Linked DNA regions of Drosophila melanogaster. The protein of the gene in region 2 interacts with the protein of the main gene of each other region in a biochemical or structural test. Each region holds a gene or a part of one and is shown on either strand. Other genes may lie near its edges. The genes, in order: Bdp1 and Tbp.

What was found.
Region 1: the proteins of Tbp (region 2) and Bdp1 form a complex in vitro, tested with the Drosophila melanogaster proteins (one study listed by BioGRID).

The regions. Positions count from the first base shown.
Region 1 is NT_033779.5:13,370,790-13,375,957, forward strand, and holds Bdp1 (B double prime 1), read right to left. Parts: upstream 3,036-5,168; 5' UTR 2,915-3,035; coding exon 1,906-2,914; intron 1,848-1,905; coding exon 1,519-1,847; intron 1,465-1,518; coding exon 715-1,464; 3' UTR 638-714; downstream 1-637. Other genes in the region: ND-B22 (NADH dehydrogenase (ubiquinone) B22 subunit), read right to left, coding at 53-150; CG6565 (uncharacterized protein), read left to right, coding at 3,715-4,362, 4,422-5,051.
Region 2 is NT_033778.4:21,685,618-21,689,620, forward strand, and holds Tbp (TATA binding protein), read right to left. Parts: upstream 2,026-4,003; 5' UTR 1,836-2,025; coding exon 1,053-1,835; intron 989-1,052; coding exon 710-988; 3' UTR 575-709; downstream 1-574. Other genes in the region: eIF3k (eukaryotic translation initiation factor 3 subunit k), read left to right, coding at 1-493; BaraC (baramicin C), read right to left, coding at 2,487-2,773, 2,842-2,893; CG10307 (uncharacterized protein), read left to right, coding at 3,426-3,605, 3,667-4,003. UniProt on the Drosophila melanogaster protein: General transcription factor that functions at the core of the DNA-binding multiprotein factor TFIID.

The DNA.
Region 1 (5,168 bases), on a different chromosome or scaffold from region 2:
ATGCACTTGCTCATTATATAATATTTGGGAATTCTGCGCCGAGTGCACTCACCGTCGGTCGTACCACGACTCTAAGTTGCGCAGTGCTCGCTTGTACAGGCTGCACACCTGGCGCTTGTGCGAGACGATTGCCAAGGGAACTTGGGCCATCGTTTTTTACTATATTGGTTAAATTGTATTAATTTGCTACCGCAGCCGAGGCAACAACAACAACAGCTGTCAAAAGTCCAGTGCTCTAAAGCCCTGCGCCTGAAAATATGTGTTGCGAAGCGAAAAATAATTTTAGAGAACGGCAACTCTGAAATGAATGGAAATTCAAAAAATATTTATATATTTGATTTAAATTTTCTATACAAAAGCAATGGCTATCTTTGCATTTTATACAAGCTTTTGTTATTGCAAGAAATCGAAATGATCCTGTCTAGAGTAGATACCTATAACCAAACACTTTTAATGCTTAAAAGCCTTCTTGCTACCCTATTTTATTTATAAAATAAGACTATTTTGACAAATCTGTTATAATTGTATATTAATTACAATTTTTTTTAGGAATAGTTAAAGAAACCAAGAAAGTCAGTCCCATTTTTGCATTTTTTGCAATTCCCTTTGAATTTGCGAGGAACAAGAAAGTAATTTTGTAAATACATCTAGCGAAATGCTTTAATAAATTATAACTGTTAACAAATACTCTTAAGATATAAATATAAAATGTCGTTAGTCCTCTGGCTGCATAACATTCATTATGCATTGAACAATATGCTCTGGTATTTTCAGAGGCGTTTCGCACAACTCGCCCGTTTTTTTGTCCAGCATGTAGATTTCGTTGAGCACACGATCCTCGTGCTCTGGATCCAAGGACGAGACGAGAGCCAGAGATCCTTCCGCAAGCTCGGCGAGAATTTGTTCGATATCCGGTTCGGTAGTGGACGGCGGAATGGGGTCATCCGGCGTTATAAGTTCATGATCTTGGTCTTCAATGAAGTTTATTAAATATGTCTCTGCCTTTCGATTGGGCGTCTCTGGGGCGGGTTCGACGTCGCTGACATAGCTTAGGGTACCATCATCCATATTGATAATAGTTTTATCACGTGGCTTGTTTACATCTACGTCATATTCCACCGGATCATCCATGAGGAGGCCATTGAGCTCAGCCTGCAGTTCTCCCCCCGTTGGCAAATGACTACTCGTTTGTTCGGTTTTGATCGTTTTTTCCTGCTTAATGGCCGCCACATCAGACAGGCTTTCCGTTGCCGCTGGAACTGAAACCTTGGGAGATCGTCGCTTAGCCTTTGGCTTACGTTTGGCCGGCGCACTTCCGTCGTTCTCATCGGTCTCCAACTCCTTTCGCCTTTTGGCCCAGGCGTGCTTGCCGAGCTTTGTACTCGTTACGTGCTCGTTTTCGTAGACAACATCACCATCGTTTAGTGCCCTTGAGGCCTTGCTTTGCTGCTGTACTCGGGAACGCTAAATATAATTAAAAAATGTAATGGTGATTACAGTCAGCTACAAATTATTTACCTTCTTAGGGTTTCCCGGAAGAGCTCGTGCGATTTCCCTCCACTTGCGATCATTTTCTTCCCTTTCGCGGTCCTCCTCTTCCAGTTGATCCTTGAGCTCCTGAATGTTGAAGGCCTTAGGATAGAGGAGTGCTTTGTTTATGAGCTGCCCATTGGTTCGCTCTTCCTTTTTGTACTTCAGCTTTAGATCCCGACGTGAACGTGTTGGAAACATTTGGCACATCAGCGAGAAGTCCGTCCCAATGATCTGCAGGCTGCGGTAGAAGCGGACGGTCTCATCGGAGGTCCAGTATGGCGTGCGCTTGTGGCGTTTATAGAATCCATTATCTCCTGCAAAGTATAAAATTCGTTAAGTATTCAACTTTTATGTATTAACTCTGCGGCGCACCCGTAGTCTCGTCCATTAGGATTAACGATGAGTTGGCTAGCACCTTGCGGGCCTCCACCTCGGCCGTGGTTTCGATCTCCAATGTTTTCTCATCAATGATCATCTCGCCATTGGCATCAAGCTTTAGCTGAGGCACTAACATAGCGGATGTGGACTCTCCCTTGGGTTCCAATAGTTGACTGACTGCGGGCTTGGAATCATCGCCACCAGACTCATCCTTGATGGTCGTCACCGACTGTTTGGGCACCATGGGATTGTTCTCCGGATTGTAGAAGATCATGTCCATCATCTTGAACGTGGACTTGTCGGGTACACCCTTATTGAAACGGGTTTCAAAGTCTCGCCGGGCATTTAACCGCTGTCCAATTTGACTTTGCGACCTATCGTCGCCCTTCCTCTGCTTGCTACCTCCTTCGGAATAGGTGGAACAGGTGGATTCGGTGCGAATGCGTCCCATGCCCGGACTAGCGGGCGGTAGGTATTTATAGGGGGACGGAGGCATAGGCGAGTGCACCTGCTGCTGCAAAGGAGTTCCCGATGAAGAACCGCTAAGATAGCGCTCTCGCCGCGTGGGCGTGGCTGGCGACTGATAGTCGCCCTCATAATCACTGGCCATGGGTGAGCCCACGAAGCTGTTGCGTCGCTGGCCAAATACCGGAGTGGGTCGCACACGCTGACGGGCTTGAGCCTTGCTGGGCGACATAGGGAAGCCATTGGTGGTCTTCTGCAAGTCCATCTGAATGACATTGTCCTCGAGGTCCGAGTGGAATACCTCTTCCAGCTGCCCAGCCGAGCTTGCGGGCATCTTGAAGGCGATTGCATCAGCCTCTAGTTCCAATTCCGCAGCAGGGGTCGATGCAACGGGCGGGGACTCAGCCTCTGCTTCCACCACCACCGCCTCCTCCTCCTCATCCTCCTTTTTCGCCGTTGGGAGCTCCTCCCTGCGTGGCTTGCGTTTGATAAGCGACAGGTTGGCCGGAGCCTTGATGCGCTGGCGCCGCATGGACATCCTGCCTGGGTACTCTTAGGCTTCTTCCAGGCTCAACCGCAGTTTCACACATCAAATCGAATCAAAATCTGCGCAACAAAAACAATGCGGCCGCAACCACGAGTTTCCCAAGTATAGTGTTGGCTAACGCCAAAGAGCATTCACAGTGTCCTGGCCATGTAAGAAAGTAGACAACCAATTTATTTAAAGTTTCAAAATGGCTATAAAAAACTTGCAGTACCCAAAAGATTTTTTAACAAATAAAAAAAAAACGAGATAACTGCGTTATTAGAAAGCATGTCAAGTAAATTTATTCGCAGTGTCAAAAATAAATTGGTATAAATTATGGCACACTTCACCAGATTCACGTCAAAAATTTGTACACAGTAAAAGTTTGGTTGAATTTAATATTATTTGTGTTTCAGTGTTGCAGAAAAGTGTGATCACTGATCGTAGCTGTCACCTCTCAGCAGGCGGTTTGCGATTTTCCAACACTGCTGCCTGTAACGGCACAACAACAGGAACAACAACAGCGGAATAACAACAGAAGCAGCAGACAAATTGCAAGTTGCACGTTTTTTCTAATCGGGCAAACATGATAAGTCCGCCCAGATCCTAACCAAGCTCTCGTGCAGTAACGCTTCCGGCAAACCTATCGGGTGTGTCCTGGCTAGAAGTACTAAATTCCCAAAGTTTTCTGGCGACAAATGTGCCAAGTGTGCGGGGGCACAGTAATAGCGAAGGAGCATTAAGAAGTCGCCGCACTTTTGAGTAGGTTGTTATGCAAGCGGGCGGCCGACGGACAAATTGAATTAGCCGGCATGCTGTTCAATCGATTTGTACTGGCCATCAAGAACCAGTCCCGAGAAACGCTGCGTGCCTGGAGCTACCAATGCGAGTCGATTTTCGCCCAGCGCTCGCGTCGCGTTCAGCAGTTGTTCAGTTTCTACCAGTCGGTGTATGGAACTCAGGGTCTGAAGCAGCTATGGCGCGCCTACTACCGCCGGGAGCTGCAGCCTCCGCTGCGGGGAATGGTGATGAGTGCAGTGGGTCTCGTCGGGCTGAATATCAAGCGAATGGGTAGCGATGGCTTCGATTGGAACAAGGAGCGCCTGGCCTTGTCCAACTTTGATCTGTGCCGCCGGGATATTGAGTTTATCAACGCCCTGCCCAACAATCAGCTGTGCGACCGCTGCCAGGCCAAGAAGATGAAATACTGCTACTGTCAGCTGGGCAACCAGCGCTGCAAAAAGGGCCAATCCCAGCCGTCCACCAGCAAAGAGGCGGAGACGGATCCGGACACCAGCATCAGCAATTGTCTGCGACCGTTGGATCTGGACGTGCGCAATGCACCGGCCGGAACGGTACGCATTCAGGCCCAGGACGACCAAAAATGGGAGCCGTACTTTAGCAAAAACGAATTCAGCATTTGGCGGCGGCAGGAGCGCTCCTCCTTATACTCATACAAGGTAAGAGGCCATCTAAAAGTTTTTTAGGGCTCACTTTTATGCCGCCTTTCCGTTTGCAGGTTTATGCTCGATTCGACGACATCACAGCGGACGACTTCCTCCACGTTCAAACGGATTTGGATTACCGTCGCCAGTGGGACGACACGGCCCTAAGACTTGAGCTCATCAGCGAGGATCCCGTCCCGGGCAGCAACTCGCATCTGATATACTGGGAGATGCAGTGGCCACGACTGTTCGCCAATCGCGACTACGTCTATTGTCGCCGCTACATAAAAGACGACAACAAGAAGCTGATATTCATTTGCAACCGCGGAGCCACGCACAACACCTATCCGGCGTTGTCTGGAAAAGTTCGCGTCACTGACTATTGGAGCCTGATGGTCATCAAGCCCTTTCGCGGTTTCCATGAGCCAGGCCTCCACTTTGTCCTCACGTACTTCGACGATCCGGGCATACCCATACCGCAGAATATTAAGTCCTGGGTTACTCAGAAACAAATGCCCGAGTTCCTCACCAAGATGTACGTGGCCACCAAGAACTACGCCTGCTCACGGGCCATCAAGATGAAGGACATGTTTCACGGATTCGCGCTTATCAATGACGAATATACGGCTAATGAGCAACGCGGCAGTTGGTTGGGCAGTTTGAGCCGGCGCAAGGTCAATAGTAAACCCGAAGCAGGTCGTTAACTCCTTTACCATTATATACCTGGCTGCTCCCGCTCCCATGAGACCTCCCTGCCCAACAGAGCCACGTATCAAACCATCCGAAAGCCCAGTTCCATCTTATGTTCATCCCTTCGATCG
Region 2 (4,003 bases):
GTTCAACCCGCACATGCTGAACTTCGACATCACGTACACCATTCTGCTGAAGTCACTGACCAGCCTGCCGCACACGGATTTCGTGATGGCCAAGTGCCTGCTGCTGCCCCAGCAGATGAAGGACGAGAATGTGCAGACAATCATCGACCTCGCCGACATACTGGAGCGGGCGGACTTCACCCTCTTCTGGCAGCGGGCCGAGGTGAACCGCAACATGTTCCGCCACATCACCGGCTTCCACGATTCAATTCGCAAGTTCGTCTCGCATGTGGTGGGCACCACATTCCAGACAATTCGCAAGGACCTGCTTAAGGAGCTGCTCGGCGGCATCGAGGACTCGACGCTGGAGAGCTGGATCAAGCGCAATGGCTGGAAGAACCAGGGCCAGGGACTCGTCATCGTGGCCATGCAGGACGACAAAATCAAGACGAAGAACATTACGGAGAAGATCGAGTTCGACAACGTGGGCGCCCTGATGGCCCAGTGCCTGTAGGAACCTCATTCGCGTTCATAGTCCTTGTCTAAATTTTTACGAATAGTAATTAACGGAAAAAAAATAATAATAAAAGCCTGTCCGTACAGCTAAATTACTTTGTGGTTTATTCTCGATCGGAGCTGCTCGCCAGGCTGCTCCCACTCATATGATCAGACTTCCAGAACTACCGACCTTAAAACGTACACGTACAGAACTAATAAAGCGCTATCCTATTTATGACTGCTTCTTGAACTTCTTTAAAATGGGGAATATCTTGTCGAAGGCATCGTAGATCTCCTGCCGCACCTTTGCTCCAGTGAGCACCACCTTTCCGGACACGAAGATGAGGAGCACGATTCGAGGTCGCACCATACGATAGATTAAGCCGGGAAATAGCTCAGGCTCGTAGCTGCTGAAGTTGCAATGGGTCAGCACCAGGCCTTCCAAGCGTATGGGGAACTTGACATCGCAGGAGCCGACCATGTTTTGAATCTTAAAGTCGAGGAACTTTGCCTGCGGGAGAGAAAGCGTTAGAGATTCGCCGGGAAGAGAAAGGAAATGTAAAGTCTTGTCTTACAGGGAAACCGAGCTTTTGGATGATGCGCGCATACTTTCTCGCTGCCAGTCTGGAGTCGTCCTCACTCTTTGCCCCTGTGCACACCATCTTGCCGGAGCTGAAAATAAGGGCGGTGGTCCGGGGCTCTCGGATTCGCATAATCACAGCCGCAAATCGCTTAGGATTGTACTCGGCGTTTCTCGCATGCAATGCTATTTTCTTGAGGTCCAGTTTGCAGCACAGATTAACCGTGGACACGATGTTCTGAAGTTGTGGCACAATACCGGGATCAGCGGAACCTGGTGTGGCTGGTGTCATCGGCGTGGAGGGGCCCATCGTCTGGTGGATGTTGCTCAGGGCATCTCCGCCACCTCCGGCCCCCGAACCGCCCACACTCCGCTCACTCATGGGCATCATGTGGGCCATCATGCTCTGCGGCGTCTGCGGCTGCATCATGGACTGCGGAGTGCTCCCACCGCCGCCGGGCGCCTGACTCTGGAGCTGCTGTTGCTGCTGCTGCTGCTGATAGGAGGCCGATGGCTGGTAACTCTGCATTTGTTTGTGCGCCAGCGGGAGCGATGGTTCGTGGCCAAAGAGACCTGATCCCCCACTGGCGTCCGACTGCTGTTGCTGCTGCTGGTGCTGCACGGAACTGGAACCGGGTGCCGGCATCAACGAATCCGGCTGCGATACAGCCGGAGGATGGTACACAGGATTGGCCACTATCTGCTGGTCCGCTTCCATCTGGTGGAGCGGCGTTCCGATGCTCGGAATCGAGAAGTTGGGGCTTAGCATTTGGTCCATCTTACAGATGGTTTATTGTGGACTCCGGTGAATTTTTCAGTGACTCAATTCAAGATTGCTGAACGGGCTCAACTTTGGGTTTTAATTGCATACCCACAGAGCGGGAAATTAATTTAATAGTAATAATAATAATAATGTAATGCAACCGCGTTCGTCGTTGTACCTGTGGCTCGTTTTGTGAGAATGGCAAAGTCAGCGCTGCATTTTGCCGCAACTATCGATAGCTGGCTGGGTCTTACGTTTATCGTTACGTTCTTAGCATTTAAGTATTTCATTGAAAATATGTATGAAAATAATTATAACAATAATTATCTTTGATTGTATTTTAATGTTTAGTTAAAAATCACACTTCAACGTTTCAAATATTTCTTATACGTTAAATCTCTCCCTTACGTTGTTGCCAATCGATAACTAAAATGGCGCACTTTTCAAAAGAATCAAGTATACTTTGTTGTACTTCTGTTTAATAGCTAAATAATTTGTGTATAAGGTGAACAAAAGAAATAGCGAATAAATAATAGTGCATAATACTTAGAAGGAAAATGGTTATTCTCATCTATGCAGTTTCAGCAATAGATTTTCGTGGGCGTGAACTGAAAAACGATGTGTTAAAAATTAATTAATTGGAACTTTTGCACTTGGAAAGTGCAATTAAATGGTTATTAAACTAATTAGAAAAATGAGAACGCCGCCCATGCTGAAACCGAAGGTTGAATAGGCCAAACTTGTGACAGTTGCCGTTGAGGAATGGGTGTAAGTATTTCCGTGCTCATCGGTGTAGGAATGCTGCCCACTTGAGGGTGAGTTTTGGAACGTTCCTCCCATTTCGGGCACTGTGTAGGGTCCTTCGTTCTGACCCCGTATGTAAATGCCGTTTCCAGGTGTGCCGAACTCATGGGGACCATTTCTTCCATCATAATTCTGCTGCGCATTTGTCACTGGAGAAAAATAGAGAGAGAGTGTTGAATGGATGTGGCGGTTCTAGTGGTTCCCACACTTGACTTACCGGCAAACAACAGCGTGCTCACTATGAAAACAAGTAAAGTACACGATCTCATGATGCAGTTTCCAGTCACTGAGCTCAATTTCAACTGAGAGCGGCTCGGTAATTTACAATCTATTTATATAAACCGATAGAAAGACGAGCTTTTTGCCAATTAGCAGCTGAGAATGGGTAATGTCAAATGTTGAGCTTTCCTTGTGCGACAAACATTACAAGCGACAATGTACCAATTTTAAAATAGAACTACCCTATTGCCAATATCTAGCATTTTGCGCATGCCTTTACCCAGGAAATGAAATTTTTAATTTTAGTTCATCAGCTTGGGAAGAGAAGGCAGGCAAAAGAGAGTGCAGCAAATAGAGATTTTTGTGCATATATAGACTCCGAGAATCGTTATATAACATGCACTCAAAACAAACGAAAAAACGCGCAAATCGGGCGACAGTTCGAAACTACAAAAGACAAGGCCTGAAAACTAAGCTACTAGCGCCAAAAACAGAGTAGGTTTTCCAAAGAGTGTGAAATAGTTTGGAACCCAAGACAACCAAATTCAAGTGCTGCAGAAGTAAACACTTAATAAGGGCGACATGGAGAAGGTTTGTCAGTTTTTCCGCAACAACTACGTGCTGGCCAATTGCGAGGATGCCATATACAAAAAGGCATTCTCCCTGAATCTGTCCCACTACCAAATCTCCGACGTTCCGGGCATCATAGAGAAGTGCGAGACGCTGATGAAGCTGTTCCTCAACCAAAACAAGCTAACAAAGGTGGCACCTGGTGCACAAGATAGCCAATGAAATAATAGACTCACAATCCCTTGACTCACAGATTCCATCCTCCATTGGTAGTTTGATGCGACTTCAGGTCCTCACGTTGGACTACAATAAACTGGACGAATTCCCGCTCTGCATCTGTCGTTTGGTCCGGCTGAAGTTTCTCAACATCAGCTGCAATAACATTAGTAGTTTGCCACCCGAACTGGGATACCTCACTCAGCTGGAGACGTTCTGGTGCAATAATACTGGGCTCCTGGAGCTGCCCAACGAAATTCGTAACTGTGAACACCTCGAGACGCTGGGCGTACGGGGAAATCCCTTGAAGAAGTTGCCCGATGCCATAGGCGCTCTGTCCTCCCTGCGTTGGCTAACAGCCGAGGGCTGCGAAC